4 linked regions of the Oreochromis niloticus genome follow. The protein of the gene in region 4 interacts with the protein of the main gene of each other region in a pairwise test. Links are inferred from orthologs where the notes say so. Each region holds a gene or a part of one and is shown on either strand. Other genes may lie near its edges. The genes, in order: imp3, pias2, ilf2 and ccndbp1.

The links.
Region 1: the proteins of ccndbp1 (region 4) and imp3 interact in binary tests that used the Homo sapiens proteins (3 or more experiments, as listed by UniProt). The two-hybrid records come from large-scale screens. The link is inferred for Oreochromis niloticus from reciprocal best matches to the Homo sapiens genes CCNDBP1 and IMP3.
Region 2: the proteins of ccndbp1 (region 4) and pias2 interact in binary tests that used the Homo sapiens proteins (3 or more experiments, as listed by UniProt). The two-hybrid records come from large-scale screens. The link is inferred for Oreochromis niloticus from reciprocal best matches to the Homo sapiens genes CCNDBP1 and PIAS2.
Region 3: the proteins of ccndbp1 (region 4) and ilf2 interact in a two-hybrid assay, tested with the Homo sapiens proteins (2 studies listed by BioGRID and IntAct). The two-hybrid records come from large-scale screens. The link is inferred for Oreochromis niloticus from reciprocal best matches to the Homo sapiens genes CCNDBP1 and ILF2.

Annotation. Positions count from the first base shown.
Region 1 is NC_031982.2:10,387,005-10,394,737, forward strand, and holds the start of imp3 (U3 small nucleolar ribonucleoprotein IMP3), read right to left. Parts: upstream 3,020-7,733; 5' UTR 2,871-3,019; intron 2,114-2,870; coding exon of another isoform or gene 1,959-2,113; intron 1,827-1,958; exon of another isoform or gene 1,823-1,826; coding exon of another isoform or gene 1,630-1,822; exon of another isoform or gene 1,588-1,629; intron 1-1,587. Other genes in the region: slc35a3b (solute carrier family 35 member A3b), read left to right, coding at 1,630-1,822, 1,959-2,113, 4,068-4,190, 4,348-4,522, 5,494-5,854, 7,560-7,653. UniProt on the Homo sapiens protein: Component of the 60-80S U3 small nucleolar ribonucleoprotein (U3 snoRNP). Required for the early cleavages during pre-18S ribosomal RNA processing. Part of the small subunit (SSU) processome, first precursor of the small eukaryotic ribosomal subunit.
Region 2 is NC_031977.2:829,591-836,588, reverse strand, and holds the start of pias2 (E3 SUMO-protein ligase PIAS2), read right to left. Parts: upstream 3,012-6,998; 5' UTR 2,729-3,011; intron 1-2,728. Other genes in the region: ube2l3b (ubiquitin-conjugating enzyme E2 L3b), read left to right, coding at 6,164-6,190. UniProt on the Homo sapiens protein: Functions as an E3-type small ubiquitin-like modifier (SUMO) ligase, stabilizing the interaction between UBE2I and the substrate, and as a SUMO-tethering factor.
Region 3 is NC_031985.2:35,583,818-35,591,219, forward strand, and holds the start of ilf2 (interleukin enhancer-binding factor 2 homolog), read right to left. Parts: upstream 3,003-7,402; 5' UTR 2,851-3,002; coding exon 2,846-2,850; intron 2,383-2,845; coding exon 2,323-2,382; intron 1,254-2,322; coding exon 1,211-1,253; intron 1,064-1,210; coding exon 959-1,063; intron 869-958; coding exon 791-868; intron 511-790; coding exon 408-510; intron 1-407. Other genes in the region: uncharacterized protein si:dkey-81h8.1, read right to left, coding at 6,925-7,029. UniProt on the Homo sapiens protein: Chromatin-interacting protein that forms a stable heterodimer with interleukin enhancer-binding factor 3/ILF3 and plays a role in several biological processes including transcription, innate immunity or cell growth.
Region 4 is NC_031970.2:14,580,954-14,588,821, forward strand, and holds the start of ccndbp1 (cyclin-D1-binding protein 1 homolog), read right to left. Parts: upstream 3,022-7,868; 5' UTR 2,943-3,021; coding exon 2,861-2,942; intron 1,104-2,860; coding exon 1,044-1,103; intron 794-1,043; coding exon 714-793; intron 483-713; coding exon 401-482; intron 1-400. Other genes in the region: H-2 class II histocompatibility antigen, A-U alpha chain, read right to left, coding at 3,567-3,703, 4,946-5,227, 6,888-7,145. UniProt on the Homo sapiens protein: May negatively regulate cell cycle progression. May act at least in part via inhibition of the cyclin-D1/CDK4 complex, thereby preventing phosphorylation of RB1 and blocking E2F-dependent transcription.

The sequences.
Region 1 (7,733 bases), on a different chromosome or scaffold from region 4:
GATTCTAAAGTGGCCATAGATGCCATCGGGAGTGTGAAGAGGACCATCAGTTAAGAAAGTGGATGGATGGACGTGAATAAGCAAGGGCACAGATGACACTACCTAAAAAAAGAAGAAGTTTGAATATACTTGGAGAGAGTTGGCAGAGTGTGCTGGGTGTAGACGCTGCAGTCTGTAAGGAGGGCACTCACACACAATGACGCACACAGAAACAGAGAGGGACTGTGCAGTCGTGCCCCTCTGCTAAGCACAGCTCCTACATAAAGAGGACACTGTGCTGAAAACACCGCACCTCTTTTTCTGTCACCACTTCATGGTCTTCATCTTGCCTAGTTGTACATCCCTTTTTAAAAAATTAATAGATTTTTTTTTTTTTTTTACTAAATTGCTGTTCAAATACAGCACATATAAATGCTTTACAGCATAAAAGAGTCACAAGTTTGTTTGAGATGATGTCATGAATCTGTAAGAACAAGAAGAAACTGTAAACTGTGTGTGAGTCAGATTCAATGTGCATAATTGTCTGAAGATAGTGGAGATACAGAGACCTCGCTGTTAACAGGGATTAACTAATAATCATGCTGTGCAAACAGTCCACCTGAGCCGATCCCACACTTTCACCTTGTGAGAAAATGAGCACGATTCCTCAGTTCCTCCTACTACTTAAGGTGGGCTGACTCTTTGAGTCTTAAAGTGACATCACTGCATACGTTACATCTTTTAAAAGTTATGCCCTCTGTTTGGAAGAAGGTTTTTAAATTTGGGGCCATGTGGGTGATGTGATGAAGGCAAGTGGACGATGCCTTAATTTGGAAATAAAAGATAAAAGAATGAAGACTGTTTCTCTTCAGACGTCCCAGATGCCAGAGTCAGGAGACGGGTTAGTAATTGTCTCATCACTGTCAGCTTAAGGTTCACAGGTGCATAATTCACTCATGTATAAAATCCTTCCTAATTTTAACTGAATTATTTGTTTAAATTTTAGGACTTTACAATTTGCTGTGCTTTTTCATCTTTAAGCCACAAACCTCTGACCAGTTTAGACGAGAAATGATTTGTAGTTTTTATAAATGACATCTGTGACAGCTGCCATCAAATGTTATTAGAAGTCCGGTGCCAGTGTAGATAAGTAGTGCACAGCTATGTCATTAACCAGGGCAGATGCAGGCTAGGGTTTTCCAGCTGGTCGCTTAACAGTTTCAGCAGTGGTTGACCGACATGTTCCTCTCCTGCACTAAATCTGCACTTGTCTTGCTGGAGGACAGATTTCCAATAACAAGACAAAGGAAAGGTGACAGCTGTTTCCGAAATGTTCCCCATTACTTTTTACTGTTAGACTGTGTCTGTGAAGGACCAGTCACAGCGTGTTAATCCTCAGTCTCTTCCACTGTTGTCTCTTGCATTTCTGCAACTTATTAAGGATGTTGTGTTCGAGGCAGAAGTCAATTTCTAGCTCAAGGACACTGCAGCAGCCTTGCTCAGCGTGTAAGGACGCTCTCTGTGAGTCCTTATGTTTGTGTGAACAAACTGAATGAACCTTTCAGTTCACTCTTCGTTTTTTCATTTTCTTCCTGTCCATCCTAAAAGGCTCCTTCACTGTCTCTCTGCAGAGTCAAACATTCCTCCACAATGGCGCTTTCCTCCGGGCTAAAATACGTGTCTCTGGGGGTTCTGGTGCTGCAAACCACCCTGCTGGTTCTCACCATGCGCTACTCCCGTACCCTGAAGGAGGACGGTCCTCGCTACCTCGCCTCCTCTGCCGTGGTGTCAGCTGAAGTGCTCAAGATTTTTACATGCACTCTCCTCGTCTTCAGCGAGAACAGTGAGTAAGGAGGAAAATCAGTTTTGGACCCTACTTGGGTAGAAAATCCTATATACCTGCTCCCCAGGCTCGTTAATAAACTTCACAGGTGGTCCTCAGGTTGAATTACTGACAGTGCTCTCTCTGTTTCTCTCAGATTTCAGCTTGAGGGCAATGTATGAGCTGCTGAACGAGGAGATTCTGAACAAGCCTGTGGAGCTCGTGAAGCTGGCCATTCCTGCAGGGATCTACACTCTGCAGAACAATCTGCTCTATGTTGCCCTGTCCAACCTGGACGCAGCCACCTATCAGGTTACATACAAATGAATGGATGTGCTTGTTCAGGCTCACTGAGTTTGTGTGTGTGAACTGGTTTCTTTATGGTTTCACTTGGCTGGTGTGTGTTGGTGTACATTTCTGAATTCACGATGTACAGTGGATATCCTGGTAAATATTTACCCAAATCTATCTCATAAAATAATCTCTAAAACAACAGATGTCTTCTGTTCTCATCTCATAAGGCTTGTTTGATTAATTTAAGTGGTACTAAAGCTATACCCTCTGCTATATTCTGTAAATATTAAAGGGGAAAATGCTAGTTTTTGAGCCTAGAACATCATGGAGTTGAAGTTTTGGAACACTGGAAAAAATCATAAAATATATCAAATATTTTTGTTTAAATTAAAGCTTCAAATCCTTCATTTTTAAAATGATATTTTTATAAATAACATTTATAATTGGATGAGAACAAACTCTATAGTGATCTAAAATAACAATAAACAAAAAAACATACTTTGGAAAACAATTCAAACTGACTGAAGCTGTTTTTATGAACTTGGAAAATTAATATAAAATTTAAAAAAAAAATACTAGCCGGCAAAAAGGCCATGTTCACTTTTCCTCTTTGTCACAAAGTAACCATTTTCAAATGAACACCAAGATTTATACGTTCATAACATCCAGTTCCAGTTTCTGTCCTTTTTCACACATACTCAGGTCTTTACAGAAATGAATAACACAATAACATTTGATCAGCATTTCTTAAGTAGAATTGTGAGACTATTATTACCTTATATAGTAGATAGTACCCATTTGTCCTTAAGCGCTAAAAAACCTGAAGAAGAAAGTAAATAAGAGGCACTTGGGAACATTTAAGACCATCCTTTTAACAGCGGCTCAGTGACACGAAATCTTGCAAATGAAGCTGTCCCAACAGGAATGAAGCACAACAAGTTCGGAGTGCAAACACCGTGTCCTCTTATCTATCACAGATAAGATTCTTAGAAATGGCTTTTCTCTTCCATGTTTAACCCTTGTGTGGTGTTTGTATTTTTGTTACTCAGCCAGTGTTCATAGGTCTGGTGGACCCGCTAGACTTTTGGCTTTCCAATTAACACTATCAAACAATTTTATGTTAAATTACTCAACAGATGTTTACTTCATCCCAATTACGAGCCATGTGAACAGCAAACATGGTTAATTTTTTCCCTTTACCTTTGTTCAATCACATTTATGAATTAATGTGCTTCTCTTTTTTTTAATAAAATGTTATAGAAAAAAAATAAAATCAGTTATAATCAAGTGTACATATCTTTATACCATATTTTGCAGGTTTTGATGGTATATACTGCCTAAAGGGGCAGCAGCCTCTAAATGGCATGGTTCTCACAGACCCGAACACCATACAAGGGTTAAAACAGATCTGTCCTGACCCCGGCACAATGGGCTGCTGAATGAAAGGCATCAAAGTACAGATGAGGAAATAGAATACAATAGATGTTCCAAAAGAACGAGAAGTAACTGAAAAGAAGATTTCTGGATATGACTGCATTTCCTGTAACTGTGGCATTTCTATACTACCCATTAATATGTGTTAAATAATAAATAAATAAAGTTTGTCTTTGTAACACTCTGAAAAACATTTGAAGAGCACAATAAAAGACAGGAAAATATGATTGTAGCATAAAATATAATTTTGGCCACAGTCAAAATTAAAAAGTAAGAGTGTAAATAACAAGAAAAATTAAAAATGGCAGAGAAGAAATTAAAAGCAACAGGGTGTTATTTAAGAAAAATGAGGAGCATAGGTAGCAGCTCAATGTGATCAACATTGATCAACTCTACTGTAATTCAGACGGGAGCCAGGCCAGCCTGTGGCTCAGATATAACTACCAGTAGCTTTATATCAATTTTTATGTGCTGTAGCGAGGATGGGAGTAATCCATCATTTACTTAAAGCATCACTTGTGTTTTTTGTGTCCAACAGGTCACGTACCAGTTGAAGATCCTCACCACAGCTCTGTTCTCTGTCTCCATGCTCGGGAAAGAGTTGGGCTGCTACCAGTGGCTCTCCCTGCTCTTCCTCATGGCCGGGATCACTCTGGTGCAGGTAACAGCGCTCGCCGTCACCACAATTATTACTAATGTTTCATTTCTACCTTTCTAATGTTGTTTTTGTGAAGTGAGTCTCAGTGTATTTACTAATCATGTGTTTTGATAAAAGCCTATGCCTTTGCACACACTCATCAGTGTTTCAACCTCCACAGTGGCCCGTCGAGTCTCTGGGCGACTCTGAACAGAATGTAATGTCTGCAGGCTCGCAGTTTGTGGGCCTGATGGCCGTGCTGATGGCCTGTGTGTCCAGTGGTTTTGCTGGAGTTTACTTTGAGAAGATCCTCAAAGAGGCAAGCCAGGGTCTGTGGCTTCGTAATATACAGCTGGGTGAGTGGCTATACCTCCTTTTGTATGACAGACTGAGCGAGGAATGTATGGTTTCTTACAAACAAAAGTTTCCTCAGGATGTTATGCAGTTCCTATGAAAAAGTACACAAGGTAATTTAACAGCTTGCAGAACCACCTTTAACAGTAAGAACTTGTAGCACTCGTTTTCTTAATTACTTTATTAGTCTCTCACATTGTTGTAGAGGAATTTTCACTCTGTCTTACAGTGTAGCTTAAGTTCATCGAAGTTTGCAGACAGTCATTCGTGCACAACTCCTGCAGCACTTCAGGCAGGTTGAGGTCTGGATTTCTTTTATTTTTCAGATGTTCTGTTGTAGATTTGCTGCTGTGCTAGGGATTGTTTAGCTGTCAGACAGATGGGGTTGCATTTGACTCTAGAATACTGCGATATGTAGAGGAGTTCATGACTACGATGTATCCAACAATAACATGTCTCTAAATAAAACTAAAGAGAGACTATAATATGAACTTTTGAAATGGCCTGGCAATGCTGTTAAATTCAGTACAAAATTAAATAAGAGCTGTATGCATGCAAAATGGCGCAACATGCAAGACTTCTCTGAATCTAATTTAACATAATTTAACTGTTGAAATTCAGTCAGGGAAAATTTCATTTTATACCAGGGGTTTCTACAGAGTTCGGACAGCATTTCGTTTACAAGCCTCAGGCTCCATTGGTGACTTAATGTCCTAACAGAAGGACATGTTCAGCAATAACAATAAGTCTAAATAACTGGGTCACGTTTAAACACTGCGCTAATCTGTAGCAGAAAGACAATGTGTTCCTCCTTTGTTGTGTAGCCATATATGTATATATATATATATATATGGCTACAGATTATTTCCTTTTGTTCTTTTTGCCTTATATTGCTCAGTAGTTAAAACACCACCTTTGTCTTATTTGTCCCAGCAAGGACCTGACCTTTATCACTTTTTCTTGTCTCTTTCAGGTTTGTTTAGCTTTGTGTTTGGCTTCATAGGCATGATGGTGTATGATGGCGAAAGTGTCAAGCAGGCGGGGATTTTCCAGGGATACAACATTATTACCTGCATAGTTGTTGTCTTACAGGTTGTGCAATGGTGTTTCACTACAGTGCATCATTTGACTTCCATGAGTTTTATGGCAGCATTTGTGGAGTTGTTCATGTCTGCCTTTGTGTTGTTTGCATGTCGTCAGGCTCTCGGCGGGCTGATCGTGGCTGTAGTCATTAAATATGCTGACAACATCCTCAAAGGATTTGCCGCCTCACTATCAATCATAGTGTCTACACTCATTTCGTATTTCCTGTTGAAGGACTTTAATCCCACAAGGTAAACACAAGCACGCTTATGCTTAATAATTTTTTTTTTTTCATTTGCTAACACTTTATGAGTGGAAAACATGGTATTCTTGTTTGTGTCTGTGTGTGTGTGTGTGGGGGGTGGGGTGAAAGGCTGAAATACATTTAGGTCCTTAACTTTTGGACAAAGACACTTTTTTTTCAGTTTTGCATCTGTCCACCGTCACAGACTATTTTAAAGAAAACAATTATGATTTAAAATCCACTGTGGTGGTGTAACGAGGCGTACTATTAAAAACTATCATTATCCAAAAACTCATGGACCCAACTGTGTGTCAGCAACTGACACTGATTAACAGGAAACCAGTTAAAACAGAATCCAGATGTCTTTTAACAGTCACCTGACTACACTGACCACCTTGACATTTGTGGATTTTCATCAGGTTTTGTGTTGATTAAAAAATAGTTCTTCCATCACAAATTCCAGTTTAGCCTTTGTGGTTTTAACTAACGATATCAGCTTTATTTTAATACTAATCAGCAAGTCTTTGCTTCCAAACATGTTAAACTGTGCAGTGAAAAGTTTTTGCCACCTTCTTGATTTGGTAGTTTTTTCCATATTTGTTATATTTAAATGTTTCAGATCATCAAACAAATTTTAGAATTAGAAAAGATAAGCCAAGTAAATAACTGGGTTAGTTATTATAACGTAATAAGCTGTTGTGCTGCCTTCGGCAGAAGCAATCTGCAAGAACTGCAAGACATGGTGACGCTGCATGAGCCGAGAAACCTTGAGCTTCAGGGCATAAACTGATGGCCGGATATTCTTCTTCGGGATTTTATAGTACAGAGCAGAATTCATGGTTCCATCAATTACAGCAAGTTGTCCAATTCCTGAAGCAGAAAAACAGCTCCCGAACATTACCACCACCATGTTTGACTGCTGGTATGAAATTCTTTAAGGAGATGCTGTGTAACAGGATGTAACAGGAATGGCCGGTGTCCTGCAAGTTTTAGATGTGTCCTTGATCCAACACAGCTGATTTAAATGGCTAAATTAATCCCTCAACATGTCTTGAAGTTCTCCAGAGGCCTGGTAATGAACTAATCATTAAAACCTGCAGGACATCAGCACTTGAGGCCTGGAGTTGTCTACCCCTGCTTTAGATGGTGTTCTAGGTTCATTTGTGCCCATTGATCACCTTGGAGTAATTTTGGCAGGTTAGCTGCTGCTGAGAAGATTCACCACTGTTACAAGTTTTCTCCATTTGTGGATAATGACTCTCACCGTGGTTCACTGAAGTCTTAAAGCCTTAGAAATAGCTTTGTAACCCCTTTCCAGACTGATAGATGTCAATGACTTTGCTTCTCACCGGGCTTTTTGAGATCTTTTAGCCTACTTCACTTTGTCAGACACCTTCAGTTTAAAGGATTTCACACTTCACAGGTGTGGCAGTAATCACGCCTGTGTGTGACTACTGAACCTGTCAGCTTTCCAAAAACAATTAGGTAAATCAGATTTAAGTCATGTCATAACAAGAAAGAAGTCACGAAGGGGACAACTGTTTCACTGCACTTGCTATCTTCTAATCGGCAACAATTGTTTTGAAAGGCAGTGTCATCAAAATCTTGGCAAAGCACACACTAGTATCGACAGTTGATAACTGTCATACACACAAGGGGCCTCAATTGTTGTGCTTCCAACCTAATGCATTTTCTTTTTCTCTGTCTCTCAGTGTATTTTTTCTAGGTGCAGTACTGGTTATTGCCGCCACATTTCTTTACGGCTATGAGCAGAAACCTGCCAGCAGCAGCACCAACAAAGTGTAATCAGAGACTTGCGTGAATTGTGGCTCTACGAACTGTGACCGGGAATTTCCTATATGAAAAATTTCATTACCGAAAAAGTA
Region 2 (6,998 bases), on a different chromosome or scaffold from region 4:
ATCCCACAGCAGAGGGACGGGAGCTGATCAGGATATAACAAATCTCATATATACTACTCATAACATTACTTTCATGTTACTCTGTAAAATGATCTGAACACTGTCTCATAATCACAGTTTAACAATATAAGCTGAGGCTACAGCCCCACACACCAACACAGGTCCTATCCTGATGAGGACACACGTGATCTTTCTCTGAGTGTTTATGTATGAGCACAAGTCAAAGAGGAAACCAGCACAAAGACACTTCAAAGTGATTCTACTGCAGAAACATGATCAGGTAGAAACCTGCAGCCTGACTGCTCATCAGTTGTTTGCAAAGAGCTGAAGTTGTGTTAACAGTGTGATTCTGTCCTGGAGCAGTCTCCACTTTATGCTCTCATCCTTTTGTGCAACAAAAATAAAAGTCATGTCCGCGCTGCAGACTGTGCTGCTGTGTTCCTCCTCCAACACACAAACTGAAATCAGCTGATCGTAGCGAGGGTGCAAGAACTGATAACTGGGATCTATAGGCAGACAGACTAACGATTCCAAGGAATCCTCGTTTCCCATCCCTAGAGGCAGGTGACATCCACACAGTAATTGTCTTTTTTCTGTTTGTTAAACATGCTGATCATCCTTCATCTAGTCTCCCGTTTAAAACACATTCTTACAAAATCTACTGGAATCCATCAGTGTCTCCCCTCAAATCTATGGTATCAACTTTAAAACATCCTACATCACCTCGTCCTCAAGTTATCACATTCCCAAGAGTCCCAGATAACGTACTCTGACCTTTAGGTCGAGGTCACCGAGGTCGGAACTCATTACAAGATGTTGAGTAGATACACTTATGGTACAAAATGAAAATGCTACGTCGCTTCATTCTGTAGGTCTTCCATTCACACACTTTGGTGTCCCGCCCACCCGATGGGATGACAACAATACCCTACCAGCCTTTTTTTTTCTTTTAAAGTAAGGTCACGTGATATTTTGTGTGGCAACACTAACTCCATCGATACAGACAGGCCACAGGTCAATAGGATGCTGAATTCACTCCCTGCTCTCACACATGATCTCCAGACCTGCATCCACCTCTTCCCTCTGAGCCCCCCCCCCCCCCCCCAAACACACAAACTCTGACCCACCACCATCACCCTTTCATTGACTGCCCCACTCCCACTGCACACGAACTTGCCCACAATCACTATGATTGTGTGGGACACCGCTGTTTAAATAATTGTGTAGTATTGTATTGTGTTGTACATAAGATTTTTTATTTTATTTTATTTTGTTTTTATTTCCTTTTCTATCTTTGTATGTTTAGTGTACACTGGGGGCCATGGGAGCACTGCAATTCCAAATTCCTGTGTACAACTGTACATATGATCTTTGACAATAAAGCTGACTTTGACTACTAAATGAGCGGGCCCATCTCACCTGAGGCAACCTTTGTGGACACACCTGCTTAGACTGACTGTGTCACTCAAACAGGTTGTTAAAGGTTAAAGGTCTAATTTATAAATGCAGGCAGATTTCCAAAGAATGAGTCTTTATCAACAAGGACAACTCAAAGGGATTCGACTGAGCAGGCTGCCAGCTGCTCTGGTTATAAGAAGGCTTCACAGCAGTAATAAGCAGTAATATCTTCATATGAATTTGTCTCTACGTGACAACAACATGTTATAGTGATTTATCACAGCTGCTGTATCATCAGGAATAATTTCAAACTTGACCTCATATAGTCACAGACTAACTCTGATGGCAACATTTATGACAGATACAGTGTTGGTGTGTTTGACAAAACTCAAACTATCTGACTGAATTAAACGGATTTGATGAAGTTTAACTTTGAGGATTTAATTTGCAAGATGACAAATGTCAAAGTTTATTATTACAATGTGGATTTGTTATATGTTTGAACTGAAAACTAGAGCGAAACAAAAGTACTTCAATCGTGTATTTCATTGTGTTTTTAATGAATCCATTTGAACTTTTAAAAACCAGACACGTTTAAATGTTTGTCGCTCTGAATGAAAGTCACAGACGGAGAAAACAAACACAACTGATTCTACAACACAACATACACACATGATACACAACAACACAGCACGGCCAAGTGTCCATCTTAGTTTTTCCTTTGTCCTTTATCTGATCTGGGATCTTGTTTCAGTGTCACGTCCACGGTGAGTGAACCCACGACAGTGTGATGATCACATACAGACGCGGTGGCTGAGCGCTGGGTCAGGAATATTTAACACGACATGAAAACAGAGTTTCTGTAATCTCGTTACTAATAAAATAAAAAAACGGATGTTTTAACATGTTTGTATACATCGTGTTTAACTCACAGCCTCGCGATAACTTTTGGCTAATCGGGTGCATGTAGTTTTTTCGATTAGCAGTTTGGTTTAAGTTTCCCACAGAAACTATTTATTATGTTTATTACACCATACCTCACACTCATGATGTCTGCCACATACAACACGTACGTGCATTAAGACCGTGTGCGGACTTTAGAGGCATTCAGTTATAATAACAGCTGTTTGTTGGGAGCTAGCAGTGACTGGCTAGCCTGTGTTAGCATCAGGGCTACATAGTGAAACGTCCACGATCCCCGTGACTACGCTCATCCCTGCCTGTGGGCGCCCACCTCGCCCATCGCTCACCCAAACACACATCAGCTGTTTTCTTCGTTACAAGCTTCAACGTCAACACGAGTGACAGGTTGTGTTTTGTTTTCGCCTACCCGAAACACCACAGTCCTCGCCATCTTGTTGTTCCGGTCAGTGTGATCACTTCCAGGTGAAGCTACAGTGCGGTTCACTTTACAGCAGCTACAAGGAAACTCACAGTGAAGCCGTGTCACGACAACCACGCGAGTCTGAAAACTGCTGTTGTTTAACATGTGTTAGGAAATGGTCCCACAGCACGTGTCAAATCCTCGCTAATTTATATAGATTAAGAGAGTGAGACAGAGCTCTTTAAGGCCACCGAAGCAGGATGTACCACAGAGCTCATATGGGTCCCACTGTGGGCCCCTGGGACAGACTGGGTACAGCCTGCCGTGGGTACAGCCTGTGTGGGTACTGCTGCCGTGTCAAATGTGGCGCATTGCTATGGAGCTAAATTGGGATCCAAAGCTTTATTCATCTGGAAAAGTGATTTCCATCTGTTTTTGATATTTAAAAAGTAAAACAAAAAACAAACAAACAGATGAATTATTTTGAATAAATTATCTGTTTTCGTGCGAATCTGTTTTGTGTTGTTGTTTTTTTACAACTTTAATTTTTCTTCTTTTTTTTTATCAGTTTCGGATCTTTAGGCCGTGATTTTGTGTTGTGGGCGTGTTTCAAGGGCGGGGCGTAGAGTGACAGCTGGAGCAGCATTGGATGGTAGGCTGGAGGACGACTTTAGAAATCAAGAAATCAAGTGAAGGCAGAAGCAAGGATGCAATGGTAGTCTAAGGAGCTTGGAAAGAAAAGCGTCTGGACTTCTTTAAGTTGCTTGAAGACGTTTCACCTCTCACCCGAGAAGCTTCTTCAGTTCTAAGGGTCAATGGCCGAGAGTCCCAGATTTAAACCCAGTGGGAGTTTCCCCCCAAAGAGGGACAAAGGACCCCCCTGATGATCCTCTAATCACCTGAGCCAAGGTGTGAAGAAGCTGAGAGGTGAAACGTCTTCAAGCAACTCAAAGAAGTCCAGACGCTTTTCTTTCCAAGCTCCTTAGACTACGATGACCTGGATGACTGAGAACCTTCACAGACAGATGCAATGGTAGGAAATGAAGATGCTGCACAGATTTCAGGGCAGAGCTGAGACAGGCTCCGAGTGGCAGCAAACATGACTGGGACAGTACAGCTATAGGCTGAAGGAACCTGTCATGAAGGTGATGGGTGTATCCTCCAGAGGAAAGAGGCAGAGACTTGGTGGAGGGATGAGGAAGTGCAGAAAATATTAAAAGGAAGAGATTACCAAAGAGATTGGCAAATAAAAGTGGGACAGGAGGTGCAAAAAACAGTCAGGAGTACTGGGAAACTAGGCGAACAGGAAAGACAGGCAAAGGAAAAGCCTTATAGTGAGCTGTATGTGAAGAAGGAGGGAAAGAACAGTGCCGAGTGGCTACACGCTGACAGATGGAGCTGAAAAGGATTTGCAGCAGCTGGAGATAATTAGGGACAGGAATGGAGATGTGCTAACAGGTGATGGGAGTGTGCAGAAAATGAGAGATCGAGGAGCACAGATGGAGGACAGTGAGTGAGTCAGGAAGTGACTTAGGAAGGAGGAGGGAAGGGCAGCTATGAAGAGGATGAGGAGTGGAAAGGCAGCTGGTCCAGGTGACACACCTGTGGAGGTATGGAGATGTCTGAGAGGGAGCAGTGGACTTCTCAACCTTACTGTTTAACATGCGGGGTCATGTCTACTTGTAAGAGGACTCTCCCACAGTCATAATGTCAGACATACTGAATATGCTTACACGTTTCATGTTTGCAAACCTCATTGGGTACACATGACAATGTTACTTTTAAAAGCCATGTATGACCTAATGTAGTGTTAGGAATGATTCAGAGTGAAGACTCGTTAGTTACCAAACCAAAGCTCGGTCGTGTTCACCAGAACTCTCCACAGTAGGCTTACAGCAGAGCAGTAAGAAGAGAATCACAGCATCATTTCAATCTGTTGACCAAATAACGAAGAAATCCTTGATGATTTTCCTCCTAACGTGCACATTTGCAGACCTTCTTCTTCCTGCCGTCCTCAGTCCTGTGTTGATGCAAGTGTCCAGGTATTTCTGACTGTTCCAGGTTTCATGTCTGTAGTTTTAGGGAAAGAAAGGAGTTTCTTTTTTGGTTAATGTTTTGTTATCGGCCATAATGAATGACATACATTTGTCAAAATCTAGTTTTGCGTCTGGTCGTCTGTGTTTGGGTCACCATTGTCACTCCACACGCTGTGGCACTGCAGACGATCAACATAATCTATAATACTTTCTATAAGAGCAGGTTTGTGGTCCACACACACTGATCAGTTCTATAAAATCATCATCAGTGAAACAGAAGCTTCCCTGGTGTGTATTATTTTTCACTACGTGTCAGATCTTGCCCTGTTTTTCGCTCTGTCTCTTTCTCACCCTCTCTGTCCTGCTCTCTCAGTGCTGTCACAGCAAAGTGTAACAGTGAAACAGAATTTACAACCACATAAACAGCATAAATCCATCTATATCCATTTACAGGCATATTGACAGACTCAATGCCACCAGGATCCAGAGCTGTGATCTGATTAGAAAACTTTAACAAACTCAGATAATAAAGTACATCAGCTGCTCAGCTGGTAACTAGCAAAATGCCATCAGACTAAAGTTAATTAATAATTTCTAATAACACAGTCTACATATGTTTATAAATAAGGCGCGACGATGCAGTCTGAATATTCAAACTGAAGGTGGACTACTGCTTTTCAATTTTCAGGTACAAGGATGACCTGCAGAGCTACATCATCCTGTACTGAGAGAGACGATGGTCATTCTACAGCAGGGTGGTGCAGCACATCCATGTGTGCAGTGGGAGTGACAGAGGGCTCAGAGTGGGGGGCCAAATCAGAAACGTGCTCTGAGCTCCTACTTGTTTGCAGTGCTGATGGACAGATTCACAGATGTTCATATGGAGCAGGTGGAGGCACGCTTTAGAATGAAAGTGCAGGGAGGACATGAATTTACACATGATATTAAAGTAGAAACATGAACTCAAATAAAACTTTATTGTTGAAAGTATTACGCAAGCACATGGAAAACCTTTTTGCTCTCTGCCATCCACATGACTGTTGAATGAGCCATTTACAACAGACTGACAGCAGAGCTGAGGGTTAAACAAGCAGACTCATACAGGTGTAACTCATGGTGCGTTTTCAGGTGTCCACATGCGAACACCTGCATTAATAATAAAAAATAAAACTCGTGTGAAGCGGACACAGCTGAGTTCAGGTCTCCTCCTGCGGCTCCGGCTCACAGCCCAACATGTTTGTAACGTATATAATTACAGATATTCCGCATTTAAACACATCGCTTCCTGTCGTGGACACGTCGGGATGTTCACAAACAGGCGGATGTCCAACCTGATCAGCCTCAGCGCAGGAACAGACCCATATTCCCAGCGCAGTGAATTCTGGGAACACACAGTAGTTTCAAGATGGCGGCGAGCAGGAGGCTGGCCAAGGTAAATCTGTCGTTGCCGTTCTTTTTGATCGTTTCTAATGTTTAAGGACGTATTGACGGTTAGTGCACGCGTCCGTCCTTTGGCTCGTGTTCACGTTACAGAGTATATTTGCACTAAGTGACCGTCAGTGTCCAGCTGTAGCTGTAGGCTCAACAGAAACAAGAGGTCAGCATTGACCACCTAGCCGACCAAATATTAACGTTAGGCAACTAAGCAGTCGCAAATCAGGCCGGAGGATCTACAGGGATCCTGCCCGGGGCTGCCAAAAACCTCATTCAAGTCTCTTATCTACAGTTTGAACGTCGGAAACACTTGAGTTGTGTGACAGAGGGAGTCAATCCGGCAGTGGGCAGCCCAAGATCGTGTCAATTTCCACGGCATAAGACGTTTGCTAATCAGCTAAGTTGCTATCCCCAGATCTCAGCTAGCTACACTTCAACTTAATCAGACTTTGAAGTTCGCCATTAGGAAGTGGGTGTGGGTGAACTACAGCGCAGCGTTACACTTCCAGTAATGCGGCCTGAAGGCGACACACACTAAATGCTACTTTCGTTTTGTGTAGTGGTCGTAGCATATTGCGTAAGGTCCGCGTTAACCTACGTTTGTTTCCGTGATTATCGTTTCTGCCTTTAAACGCACACTCCGCTGAATGACTGCTGTTACAGGAGGCTGTGTGTTGGAAGTTTTACCCGGAGTAACAAAGCTGGCCTCTGAGCTGTAACCGGCTCACTGATACGGGTGTAATGATTCAATGCGAACATGCAGATTAACAATAACAGGATTTCATTCATGAGAAACAAACGTCGGT
Region 3 (7,402 bases), on a different chromosome or scaffold from region 4:
TGCAAACAAGTTGCCAAATTATCCAAGTGACAAGAAGCAGCACAACGTACAGCATCAAAAAGGCTTAGAAATGATGTCTGTGAAGGTTCTCAGTCATCCAGGTCATCGTAGTTTAAGGAGCTTGGAAAGAAAAGCGTCTGGACTTCTTTAGGTTCTGAAGCTTCTTCAGTTCTAAGAAAAATTGGTGGAGAGTCTCAGATTTGAAACCTTATTTGGGAGCGTCATGGAAAATCTGGGACTCTCTGCCAATTTCTCTTAGAACTGAAGAAGCTTCTCAGATGAAACGTCTTCAAGAAACCTAAAGAAGTCCAGATGCTTTTCTTTCCGAGCTTCTTAGGCTTAGAAATGATGTGTGCTGGAGCAGCAACTTCTCTTTAGACAGTGTAATTGTGCCATATATTACTCACATGTAGGGAGAATCTTGAGGATTACGACCAGGTCAGCAACATTATGTCCTGTCGTCATGGTGCCCTTCTTGTAGGAACCCACCTGACGCACCTCTTCAATTTGCTACAAGTCGACAAGTACAAGATTACTGACATGAAAGACATTATTATTAATTAGCTTATAATATAAATATGAAATCTGTCCAATGAAAATGAAGCTGTATAGTCCACAAAGCACTGTTACTGGATACTTCTAACTGTATTCAAGTGATTCAGTGTTGTTTCTAAACAGTCTTGAGTTTCAGTTCAGCTCTGAGAGAACAGCTGACACACACACCAGTGACACAAGCAGCGTGTGCACTTCACTGAAGCCATTACGACTCATTCACTCATGTTCGACTCACCACTTCAAAGTTGCCAGGTGCAACAATCAGGTTGTCGATCACATTGTTGATCTTTGTGACCAGGGACAGGATGGAAGACTGACGGACAACGAACAAGGTTTGTGTAAGTGAAATGAAACAGCAGGTCAGTTCCATTACTGCTGAATGAGTGCAGGCTCACGGACTGACCTGCTCTGCAGGGGTGGGGCTCAGATCCTGGTTCCTTTTCAGCAGACACTCACTGAAAGCCGTCTCATCAGGTGCAGGCTTCACTCTGGGGAAGGCCATCTCACACTTGTGACAAACAACAGTCTGCTTGAGTACTTGCATTGCTCCTTTAGAACCACTCTACACTTTCATTATACACTGACTGCTGGCTGACGTCTTGCTGCTTTGTAATTTGGTGAAAAGTTTCTAATTCATACCACCACACATACTTACCACATAAAAATCGAATGGAATGTGTGGGACAAATGGCCGGTACCTAAACAAAAATAAAGTTTTGTCAGATTTGGTTAAACAACATTGCAGTTCCAGGGTCTGTATTTCAGTGGTTACACAGCAGTGTTAGTGGTTTTCATTCCAGTTACCGGGGTTGGCAGTGTTAAAGCACAACATTGAAGGCAAGATTTCACAGTTGTTCTGTTGTCTGAGAACAGGACACAAAAATATGAAGCATAGTGATTTCAGCATTTACATTCTGACACATTGAGGTCTGCTTCTCTGTAGTGGAATAAGCAGAGGGACAGGAGCACAGTACAGCGTGTGTGTGTTGACTGGTGCTGTTGGAGCAACAGTATGTGGGACTGCAGAGACGCAAACAGGAACCCAGACGAGTTCAGCTGCAGTGAAGCACATAAATGCCGCACACAGTACTTTTATGGTGGTTATGAGTCGTCCCTGAAAGTGTCTACGGTTCAGGTTCTTTCCCCTAAATAATAATTTCCCCTAAGGATCAATAAAGTATTCTGATTCTGATTCCTCAGCATTACAGCACTACAGCACTCTAAGCTGGTACTATACTATAAAAATGTATTGTGTTATGTAGGGAACAAAAGCAGTTAGGTTAACAGCAAAACATGAAAGTGTGCTGACAGAACGCTGGCAGTCAGATTTTCATAGCTCACACGTTACATCATCATAAAAACAAATGTTCATGAGATCTTTAAAGAGCGCCTCGTTGCACTGTCACGGCTAAATGATAAAAGCTGATTCACGGCAAAACAAATGTTATTTTATTACTTGTGAATTTTTATTGGAAATTGAGAAATTTCTAAAAATGATTTATTTCATCCACAGATGTCGGAGTTTTGCTTACACCCGTGTAGCCTTATGGGTACTGTCACTTCACACTGCCAGCAACATTTATGAGGCCTTGGAGCGAGCTGGACTTTGTGAATGAAGTCGTGGTGACCTGTGTTTTATGGACAAAACACCTGGCACCACAAAGAGAGTAATATTCCCTACATAACGTGTAAATGGGGCTTAGCGCTCGAACGACGAACCAAGACATTACTGAAAATCAGCCAACACATCTGGGCTGGTGAACTCACCCCTGGACCAGTCCTCCGCGGGCCCCGAAGCGGCCGCCTCGGCCTCTGCCGCGGTCTCCTCTGGACACAAACACAACACAGCTGACGTTAGTGCGTGCACAAACCACGTTTGGCGACTGAGCCAACGTGTAATGATGTTGTGATGTAATGACTTAATGTAGAGAAACCAATGCACTACATCAGCGCTGCTTCACTGAGCCAAAGCACATTTGTTTCATTTAGCTTTCCAGCAGGGTAGCTATTAGCCAACGGGATGGTTGCTAACATATGTCTACTATTGTAGCCTTCCCTACACCGAGGAAGCTCCTGCTACACGCTGCTCGGACGTTTGGATTCATTGAAGGAAAAAAAGGAAAGCAGCGAGCTTTCAGACAATACACGCCACTGGCTTTAAATTACGAAGGCAGTAACTGGCTCTATCAGGCACTCAGAGCTAGCTTGTAGCACAGGTACGAGGTAAGAATTCAAAGACTTGATAGTACTCGACTTAAAACACATTGCCCAACGAGCTACACTCGGATACCTCATTGCGTACGACGTTTTGATTATTGTACGTGGAAAATCTCAGAGAATTGTTGAACGTCCCTCTGTGGACCGGCTTCTCGGTGCTGCCTGTTAGTCGTCGACTTCTTCTGTTACAATGGGCGGCACACTAAGCTCAATACTGCCCTCCACAGGACATTTTTAGAATCTCACTGCGGCTGGGATTCTAACAATGTAGACCTAATATTATGTAAATCCAAGCATAACTGCCAAATTAAGTTTAAACTTCATGACCTCACTTTGGCCCTAAAACTGTCAAAAAGGACTGATTGGTGTTTAGGAGAGGTTTCGACTCCTTATAAAGGAGCATCAGATGTGCCCCCACCAGCTTTTTCCTGTCTGTGCTTACAGCCTCTACAGCCTGAGGTTTGCTTTGCTTGCTTTGTGATCTGTTGTCTTGCTGTTCTGTGTAATGTGATGTACTGTTTTGCTGTTCATATGACTCTGTTTAATAAACTGTTTCCAGAATTTTAATCTTTTCTAGAGGATCTTTTTGATTATAATGGGATCTAAAAAGCAGGATCTGGACATCATTGGCTGGAGAAGGTTTTCAAGTTGGCTTCAAAATTTGTGACCTGACAAGTCCAACATCACCTAAACCACTGCCGGAGAATCTTATGCTTTCCTCCAGCGCACAGCAGAACAAAACCGCCAGTTCACTGACTGGATGAGGTCCCTAGCCCAACAGTATGTGGAAGGCAAGAAAGTCTGGTTCCTCGAAGGACAGTCCTCTCAAATGCATGTCAAAGAAACCACATTACTTGGGACTGCTTTTCATTGAAGAAATCATTAACTCTGTGGCTGTGTGCCTCAAATTGCTGACATCCATGAGAATGCATTCCATGTATATCAGTTGAAGCTAGTATCTTCCAACCAGTTGTGACTCCAGTGTCAAATATCCATGTCAAATATCCTTGGGCAAGATAGTGACCCCAAGTTCGTCTCTGACACATCCACTGGAGTATGAATGTGTGTGAATGTTATATAAACAGAACTTACATATACATATAGAAAAAGTACATGTATGAATTGGTGTGAATGAGGCAAATTAAAAGCACTTTGAGAGCTCAGAGTTGAAAGTGCTAAATAATAACCAGTCCATTTACCATTTAATGTTCCTTAGTGAGCTGTCCAGTTGTCATGGAACTGAAGATGTTCAAATATTCATTCTTTTTAGCCTTTGAAAACCTCTGTTGCGACTTACTTATATTTTTTTCAAATGAATATTTTGTGTCTGGCTCACTTTCTGTAATGTATGCAGAAATTGTTCATTCTTGCAGCTTTGTAAAGTGACATATCAAATATCACTTTCATATGTAAAGTTATTACAAGAAAAGATGAGATGGAGTTTCAATTACAAACTCTGTGTAAGCAGTAATCTTATCAAAATAAAGCTTACACCTGTGAGACTTCATCAGAGGTGCAAATATTACAGTGGAGGCTTTTGTGCCAAAGTAACTCAACACAGAAAAATGCCTAAATGTGTTTTGTATTTTATAGCATTTCACCCCTTTGAAAATATGCTGCAGTAGACAATAAACTCCAAAAAACCATGAATGGATATTACCTGTGCAAAGACTGATGCTGCTCAAGTGAAATGTCCCTGCTCTGAGGCATTGTGGGAAATGGAGTTATTCAGTTAATGCAATTTAATTGCGCTGGATTTAAGTTTTGGAAGCAAGACAGCAAAGGTAAGACAGAATTCATGCTAATGTTTTCTAAGCATGAATGTTTTCTAAGGCGGAGCCAGGATGTCATGTTACGGCTGTGTGCAGACAGGAATAGGACCCAAGGTGCAGACTCCGGAGACAAAACGGTGAACTCAAAACAGCTTTATTGCTGAACAAAGAAAATCTACAAAACCTAAACTGAAAAGAATCTAACAAAACACACACAGGGAGCCACAGGGAGATACACACAGCATGAGGGACGACGCGACACTGACTCAAAGAAACACAGGGTTTAAGTACACAGAGGGAGCAATCAGGGAATGGGCAACAGGAGGGAAACACAGCTGGGGCAAATCAGGACTAACGAGACAAGGAGAGCAAAACCAGATACACTAACATGAGAAATGGACTTACAAAGTAAAACAGGAAACATAACACAGACTCTCAGGCAGGCATTATAACAAAGGGAACAAAGACGTGGGACCAGGGCAGACACAGACACTGACTGGACGTGGGGATACAGCAAACAGGGGAGACAGCAACTCAGAATAACAGACAGAAAACCAGAACACTAAAACTCTAACAGAACCCACCCAGAGAACCCAAACTAAGAATAATCCAAAAACCCAAAAAGCAAAACTAGAATATAATGAAGTAACAAACTCAAAGAACCAAAACACAAACCACTGGGTCGATGACCCAGGGATCCTAACACAGGAAGGTGTCAGTGAGGGGGCCAGGATGGATCTGTAATCATTTCGGGTTGGCAGACAGGTTTCACATAAATACACGGCTATTTAAGCACATAAACCACAGACCTGTACAATATTTGGAATGCAGGTAGTAGTGGAGAAGATAAAATAATATTTGGTATAGCAAACTTTTTTTCCCATATTTGTGTGGATCAAGTAACAACGAAGCTCACGCTGTACTAATGTGGCCCAGTTTACAGATTATTCTGAGTAATACTGCTAAATTATTACTGAATGCACCTTGAATCTTTACTGAGGTGCTGAGTTAAATGTCACTTTTTAGTTAATTTTCTAATTTTTAATTATATTCCACATATTAATGCAATAAATTTAATGTTGGTCATATTATTGTTACATTATATCACAAAAGTATGATGGACACTAGTCTCATAAACTACATTAGCTAACCTGAACTTTATTCACTGTCTAGCTTGTTTGTTTTTTTTACCATAAGCAACATTCAGCTCTCTGCACAAACATGAAATTAATTACACATAATCACACAAAGCTAAAACAAAGCTTGACTTTATTTAGCAGAATTGAATGTGGCCTTATGTGTGCATGCTAAGGAAGATTCACAATGATCTAAAAATTATATAGAAAAAAAAGACAAGGCTGTGGTTAATATTCCATTAATATACAATCTGTAGACTCGACAGAACAACCCCGCTTTGGATTCAGCAGATTTGTGCTAAAAAAAAAAATCATTAGTAACAATTCAACATTTCAAGCTAAGCTTTAGAGAGCGATTTATCTGTGCAGCAGTAATTTTATTTTCAGTGAGATTAAAGTTTTCATACATTCATTTACAATTAATTCTATATTATAGTGGTTTGAACAAAGAATGACAACAGGACTAAGAAGCCATACATGAAAGCAGTGTCAGATAGGTTTGATCTGCTAAAATAACTGTGGAGATACACATATGTGTCCTGTGGATTTAACGACTTGAGTTCCAACTGCTCGGATTTTATGAAAACCTCATCTTTGTCCCTAATTTGCCAAAAACAATAAACAATGATGAGAACAGCATTATGACCGTTATATTTTTAGAGATATTTCTCTCTTTGAGTTCTCATTGGAGAACATTTCAGTGCATAAGTAAGTAAGAGGCTTACACGTCAGCAGCTGATGAGAGAAACCCTGAGTTACAAGCAGGATGAGAGTGCTGGGGCAGTCGAACACAGTATTACTGACAGTGGGCTAAAATCGCTGCTTTTATAATATCGACCAATTCTGTTCTTTATATTTCACAACTTTATTAATCTACTAAGTCATGTAGCGTTTTGATATTGATAGAAGTATAAATGGCATACTACGGCGCAGTAATGCTGTGTAAATGATGAATTACTCACTTGTTAATACCTTAATAAGGCTTAATAGTGTGACATTATTATAAAGTGCTACCATGTCAACATTAGTAATAAAACTGTTCCATTTCACAACTACACCATAGTATACTGTAGGGACAGCAGCACTAACACTGATGCTGTGATCAAACATGCCAGAAACTTGTTAAACATTCACATTTATTTTCCAAACGCATAACATACGGAATATGGCTTCCCTGTTGACACTCAGATGTAAGCTGTCTCTTGTGACTGACATGACACCACTGTGAGCTCTGTGTGCTGAGTTCAGGGTTCTGTGGTTTCTATTGGCTCCACCTGGGGTTCAGTGGGTGGGGTGGAGATGTCCTCTACCTGCTCTGAATCAGGTTCTGTCACAACTACAGCCACCTGCTGACACAAAGAGAGCAGTCCAATGTCAGTGTATGTATCAGCATACTGTAGGTAATAAATAAGAAGGTTAAAGGGCACGAGGTGAAAACCCTCGGGGTTCAAATCTGATGTGACCATCATAAATCAGATTTTTATTCCAGATCAGTAAAGGTACCAACAGCAGGCTGTAAACATATCACACTTTTCTCCTCTGAGCACTCAAAGTGTGTTTCGCTACAAGCCTCATTCACATCTGTAAATATATATATGCACATGCAAGTTCATATAGCACCTTCAACCTATGCACAGATTACATTCATGCATACACTCACACACCGATTATGCATCGAAATCTGGAAGTCATTCTTAATGCTCTCACCAAAAGCAGGATGAT
Region 4 (7,868 bases):
CCTAAGAGAGTTTAGGCTGTGCTAAAGAATAAAAGGGGTCATACCAAATATTGACTTTGATGCTTGTTAGAATTATACAAACTGTTTATGCCTCATTAACTGCATTGCCGTCTATAATTGCACATTTCAATAAGTTGTTCCAATTTTCCAAAATAACTCGGGGGTGAGTGAAGACTTTTGTTAGTACTACCGTAGTAAACACAGAAGCGCATCGGACTGAAGTAAACGGATAAGCCCACAGACGGGCACTTGCTCTGGCTTTTGGAGTCTGGATTAGACTGATTAGTGTATTGTGATATTCTGGCATTGTGAAATGCTCCAAAAACCTGAATGCAGTGCAACGTATTCACCTCGCTCATCTGAATACAACATTACTGTTCTGCTGTTCACAGGGTTTTACCTTGGCTCTTAGGTAGCCAGTAATACACTGTAGACAGTGTGAGGATGCTCTTCATGATGGAATCTGCCAGCTTCTCTCCATCCTGGAGATTGTGGAGGAAAAACAGACAGAAAACAAATGATGTGCTGGTCTTTAGAAGGTTTATGTGGAAATTCAAGATCCTGAGAAACATGACAATAATTTATGGCTCTAAGTAAGAGTTCAGCTCACATCATCATCATCATTATTTCTTATTTTTACACTATACCAGACTTCAAAACAATCTGTTTATCAGCTCAGTGAGAAACCTTCATGATTACAGAAATAATCTGACCTGCTGTGATGGCAGAGGAGGTTTGGAGAAGGCCAGGCTGAGTTTAGTGGCTTCCTGGGACACTGCCTTCACTGCCTGATCTGCTGACACGAGGACAGTTGCATCATGTAACAACAAGACGATGAAGGAAGGAATTCTCCTAATGCTTTTTTTCTTTCTTTTTTTTTTTAATATCAAATAAGTCATTGCAAAAACATTATAAAAACAATGCAAATACATTTCTTAGAAAACATTCACTGTAACGAGACAGGAACATCAGCCAGTTGTCAAAGGACGTTCGATGCAAAAGTCTAGGAGCTGAAACAGCAGCAAGAGATCATGATACTCAACTCAAAGTGTCCCAGAAATTGGAGAGGTTGAATGCTCCATCGGACTCGTTTGATTCTCCATCTGCGAAGAAAAAAAAAGTTCTAAATTCTTGGTTCTAGTTCTTAAGCTAAACTGCAGAGGATTCGTCTTTTTTTGGCTGCTCAGTGGATCATCTGTCTCCATCTCATCCTGTCCCTGCGTGCTCTTCTGTCATACCAGACCTTGGCATGTCTTCCTTCACTACATCCATGAATCTTCTCTGTGGTCTTCATCCTTTTCTCCTGCCTGGCAGGTCCATATACAACACCCTTTGCCTAGGATATTCCATATCCCTCCTCTGCACATGTTCAAAGCATCTCTGCCTTGCCTCACTAACTTTGTTTCCAAACTGCTCAGTCTGACCTGTCCATCTGATGTACTCATTTCTAATCTTGTCCATGCTGATAACTCCAAAGAAATTCTTAAACTCTGCCACCTCCAGCTCCACCTCCTGTTTTTGCCCACTTTAGTCCCACTGTCTCCAATCCATACATCATAGCAGATCAAACTACGATCTTGTAAACCTCCCCTTTCACTCTTGCTGCTATCCCTCTCTCTCAAAAAAAAAAAAAAAATCACCCCTGACACCTCGTCTCCAGCCTGCTTGCAATCTCTTCTTGTGCACTGTCTGTTGCTTTGGATGGTTGACCCCCAGGCATTTAAACTCCTCTAACCTTCACTACCCTTACTCCTTGCAATTTCAAGGAATTTAAATTACAATAATTTAATCTTTAAATAATCTAATTTCAATTTCTGAAATAGGAGAATTAGCTTCTATTTGCTGTTTAAAATCACTGTAAAATGGATAAGCGGTCAGAAAATAGGATTTGAAGACAGCTCCATGGCACAAAAAAATTATTTCTTTCTTACAATCTTTAACATTTAAGGGTTTCTTGGGTTAAAGGTGTCAGTTTTGATCAGACTCATCTTCTCAAGTGTTAACAGAACTCAGTGCATTTCTGTGTCATTTCTGGACAAAAAAAACAAAACATATTTGGGCTTTTATATACTAGGTTTTCTTCAGACGGAAGACCAAAACCTCCCATCAACTACAATTAGCTAGCCACTATTTTGGACATAATGAAATGTCTGAATATTTTGATGACGACAACACAGTAGTCGTTTTGGATTTTTGGCAGTAACTGAAGGGCCACTTAGGGCTGAGTGGCGCTTTAGTTCCTGTTTGTATGTTTGTCTTGATAAACATTTTTTTTCGTATTAAAATGTCTGATATTGTCCACTTTATCTTTTTCGTATTTCAGCTTTACACTCTTTTGTAAAAGCAAACCTTTAAGTATTGTTATATCCTGCACAATCAGTTGTTTTTGTTCACAAAACTGACTCATGAAAATACCGAGTAACACTGAGGTCTAATGTCCCATTTAGGTCAGTGAAGATGAGGACAACATGAAATAACTGAAAAAGCAAGACAAAAAGCCCCAACCTCCATTTTCTACAAAACCTGGGAATAAAAACCTGAATAAAAGCGAACAGGAATTAGCAGTTAAATGTAGCTGGGTCACGTAATAAAGTGCCAAATGTCTTTATCGCTGTATGTTAAATTAGCTAAATCCCCGTCTTTGTCTGCTAACAAACAGACGTCAAAGTCGTTAACTGCTGCTAAACACACGAATCGAGTTTAACAAACAGTTAAACTCGTAAATCTACAACAGTTAACATGAAGAAAGTTTATACCAATGTTAGCACATATATTAGCACGTTTAGCTAGCTTGACATAAGCTTTTATGGTTAAGCAGTTTCATTTGTGACAACACAGACAGATAATGTGGCACAGTTACCTCTGACTCGGTCTCGGATGCAGTTGATGGAGTTAACCAGATTCCGTAAAGCTACTTTTCCACCACAACTATCAGCACTCATGTCGCCAGAGTTTGTGGATCGTGTTACATGCGTGTTGTGGAACTACATAAGGGGAGCCCGTTGATAGAGGGACAAAAATAAACGAAACAACGGCGCCGCCGGACGTTCCTGCTGACCCGGCTGCCATTCAGCCAGGAGCGCAGCAGAGGGCGCCAACGAGCTAGTCTTCAAAAACTATTAAACAAGCGCGCATACCTGCCTCAAACCAAACAAACAAAGACGTCACAACTCTTTAGTTCACAGTTGTGCAAGATTTTTGCTTTATTTATCTATAAATCCTCAGCAGGGAGGAATTATTCTACACAAATTCTTTTGTAGGTCTGCGTGTTATAAAGGCATACACCGTTGATCATATAACAACCCCAGTAATGATCTCTTTATTAAAAATCAAAGTATATTAACACCACATCATCAAGTGAAAAACAATACAAATTGTAAGTACACATTAAACACATTAAGTAAACAAACTGTCATTCACTATTAATGCAGTGATATAAAGAAGTTATCTGTAAGCACAAGATACTGGATTTTTATGTTTTTTGATGGGTTTTGCTTGCACATATAAAACCAATTAATCAGGGGATTAAAGACTGAATGATTAAAGTTAATTTAATAAACTCAATCTCAAATTTGAAGACATTCATTTGGCTGCTTGATGAAAAAGAAGACTCCGGTCCCGAATCCTATCAGGCACAAAACGACACTCACACCGAAAAACACGGCTTCAGGGCTCACTCTGCTCATCTTGTTTTCCTTCAACTCTGAAAAAAAAAAAAAACATCTTTTATTTGTGTAGTTTGAAAATGACTGAAAACTGCATCTGTTTATGTCTAAAAAGGCCTTCTTGTAATAATTCTATGACTGCTGTTATTTAAGGTAAACATAGGAAGCCAGATGACTTTTTTTTTAATATAGAGTCTGCAAAGGGGGCATTGTGGGGGCGGATGTATAGGTCAAGAAAACATTTATCATGATAAACAGATATCTGTGCAATACTGCAAAGAATCTGTTAGCAAAGCTTTTAATGTTTCTAAACTGCATTCGAACAGGGTTTGGTTGTATGCAGGTAAAGGTGTGAAAAAAGGATTAAGGTTCAGTCAAGAAAACACTGGCTTTCACATGAAAGCTACTCAGTTTTTCTTTAGCCTTTAAAAATGTATCTACATTTGTCAACAGTTACCAGCACAGAGAACAGGAAATCTTTTCCTGGATATCCTCTAGCTAGCCCAAAAGCCCCTAATATTGGCATGTTGCACATGTCAGCAACCAAAGCCAAACATATTTTTTGCTTGAGGCACGCTTGGACTCATTGTAGTTTTCTCCTGTAGTTGTAAGTGCTGCAACTCTGCATCAGCACTGGTGTGTGAATAGAAAAAGTCAAATGAAAAAATCACAGAGTTTGTTTTTTTTTGTATGTTTTAAAATTTTCTCCAGGATTCCTTATTTTTTGAAACTGTTGTACCTCCTCCCTCTCTCTAAGCTGGATATTTCTGAGCTCCAGCATTAACATGACCGAACCCTCTCATAGATCCATGCCTCCAACCAAGAGCCAGGTTTACAAAAACCATATCACAATACAAATCCAGTGAATTGTGATATCATTTTTGACATGTGCAACTGTTTAAAAGGGTGACAAAAGGAAGCATAAATTAAATATAAGTCATCAGACAGTAGATGGAGGGTTCCCCAATTCACAGAACATGAACGTTAGGAGGCTACTTTTTGCTTCAAACAGCTTTACTTTAGTTGCCAATCTAGGACGGTATGAAAGCGATAATGTTGCAGACCTTACATGTAAAAAGAAAAATGTAATCTAACACAGTATTGGTATTGCAGGAAAGTTCTAAAATTGGTATCGTCACCTGATTGTCTACTGGGGAGAATCTCAAGAGTCCTTGGCTTATTCATAAAAACAGTTCAGTTTAATTCAATTTTATTTATGAAGTGCCAAATCACAACAACAGTTACTTCAGGCACTTTATATTATAAGGTAATAATCCTACCCCAGCTCTTGCTGACAGGCACTTTTGCAGCTTGATGCTCCACCGTGCAGATATAATGGTCTCCAGGCTGTGGAGTGAACAGAAGCGTAGAAATCATGTGGAATGTCCCATCACGATTGTGACGATAGCGTAAGTTTGCCACACCCTCTGTGAGCTCCACTCCATTCTTGGTCCATGTGAAGTTGATGGTGGGTGGGTAGAAGTGGTTGGCCACACAAAAGAGAGTGTTCATCACACTGGCCTCCCCCTCATACCGGGTATAGATGTAGATGTCAGGAGGATCTGCTCAAAGAGTCACACATTTCATACTTTTAGAGCAAAATCCCCCCCAAGAACTATTACCTTGATAGATGTAAGAATATATAACAAACTCACAGATATAAAATGAAAGACATGGACAGAGACATTAAAACATCTAAAAAAATGAAAATTGTGTTTTCTTTTGCATTGCATTTATATTTTGCCAAACATTGTTGGTGCCGGAGGTTATTCTAATATTTTAACGAGACTATTACCATAAAAAAACTGCAAATGTGCCAGTAGAAGCCAGAGGGGCTCCTAATGGGGCTGTAGCATTTTTAAATGAGTTGCTTCTCTGTCATCATCTTTCTGCAGGTTACATGTTCATCACAAGGTTATAGCAGCTAACTAAACCATAACTAACAACTAAAACTAGGCACAAAAAGCACTCAGAAATTAAAATATAAGCTAGACTTCTGATTTAAAAATATGATGAAAGAAAAACTGAATATTCTGCTTACAAATCAACCGAAAAAAAGAAAGAAAGAAATATATGAGAATTTTGAGGTGAGGAGGCCTTATTGATATGTTTATTAATTTCAAGGCTGAACCATGAAATAATTGCCAGAAAATTATGTTATGAGTGTTTATTGAGCCTCCTGATGAGAAACAAATATTAATTTTCATATGTGAGTTTTCACTTGTGTCATATTTGCTACATCAGGCAGTTTTTTTGGACATTTATTCCTTAAAAATGTATTGTGTAATTAACTTGTAAAGTAAATAAAGGTACTAAATATAAAAAGGTACTAAATAAAGATGGGAACAGACTGCTTTTTCTCTGGAAAGTTCATACGCAATGGCAGACAGACAGCAAAAGTAAAGCTTATATGGAAACAATCTAAACATTAATGGTGTCATTATTCTGTAGACATTACGTTGTGCAGTCAGCAGAGTAATAACAAAGCTAAAATGCTCTATTGACAGTTTAATTTAATCTGTGCTAAGAAGCAGAATGAGATATCCAGCAGTGCATGGTTATAATTCACAGACATAATGGGCTGGATTGAAAAGAAATGATTTGTACCTGTGCTGACCTCCAGAATATTCTCTCATTGCCACTTGACCCTCTTTGAGCTTTGTTTTTCATCATCATCAACTATGCTGCACTTTCATTTGAGAGAAACTCCAAACACTAAAATAACAGTCTACAGAGTCAGGCAGCTATTCTCTGTGAGTTTGCCGCATGAAATGACACCACACATATTGCATTTGTTCATCTTATCTATAATTTCTAAGAAAATGCTGGTGGAAGCAGAACTCATCTCAGAGTTCAGTTTATGGAAGGAGACTGCCTTAGAGTAGTTTAGAAAGGCCACTGTAACACAAGTTTCAAGCTAATTTAATAGTATATAATTACTTTTCAAAGGTGATTCTGTCTCAATATATTTTTCAAGCCAGAGAGAAGGTCACTGATTAGCTGTGTAATTAAGGCTCCACCAGTCTAGCACCTGCCTGGAGCACTTAGTTTCAAAGCAGCTTGTGTAAGTAAGTCACAGAAAAGAGATATTTTAAACCCGGTATGTGCTCTCTTAATTCTTTCTGGTACATCTGCTTTCAGTTGGATCAACAGTGTTCTTTCTTCCCCTCGATCAGGCTGAGCTAAACGAATGCTCGCAGTGAAGTGTGCCAAGATCAGTACCTTGCCGTAGGGGAGCACCGGGATCAGCATTTTTTGCTTTACCCAAAACGCTGTGACAGTGTGCAGTGCTGGCTTTGGCGACTCCATAAGCCATTTTCTTGAAGTCTTTTGCAGGTTGTGGCAAGTGAGGTAACACCCACACTACCTCTTCCTTGTTGAAATCGGCGTATGCAACCACGTCGTCGTCAACAACAGCGTCCACCCGCACATCATCGGATTCATAGCATCCATAGATGTAATGGAAGTTGTGGGACTGTGCTGAAAAGAAGAAGGTGCAAAATGAATACATGATGGAAGCAGTTCAAACATTCTACACACTGATTTTCCTGACCTTAACTGCAGCCAACAGGCTGGTAGGGGCTGTAGCTCTTCTACTCAGTATATTCTACTTTGAAATAAAAGAGTAGTTTTTATTTCATAGTTGTTAATTAATGAATTACTGTCCAACTGGCTAATTTAAGTCAGCTCTATGTCAAGTGAGGACACAGCACTTTTCTTCTAGAGTTGTTTTGTATTCACTTGTTCTTTAGGTTTAGGCACTAAAATCGTTGCGTTTACCAAATCACTGTGTCTTTGCTTAAACTACCATATTTGCTGAGCACTTCACAGGTGTCCATATGTGATTAGCTGGGAATGATAGACCTCACTCACTTTTAGCAAACCCTGGTTAACTGTTTTCCCCTGTTTGCAGCTCATCTTATCTTCACTTAGGCTAACAGCCTCCAGTCTGTTTAATCTGCTGTTGTCTCTTTCACACGGCTCCAGTTGTAGCTACTTGAACACAGAACAGAATACCTGTTCAATCAGTCATATTAATTTCACCTGAATCTGCTGACAAACTACCTTTCCATGTCTCCTTTATAGGACAGTACCTTTAATCTTTAAATGTATGCACTTTAAAGTTTCAGAGCTCTAATGAGCCATCACATTATAAATACACTTAGCACAGTGAGTGCACTCAGCACTAAAATAAATATATTA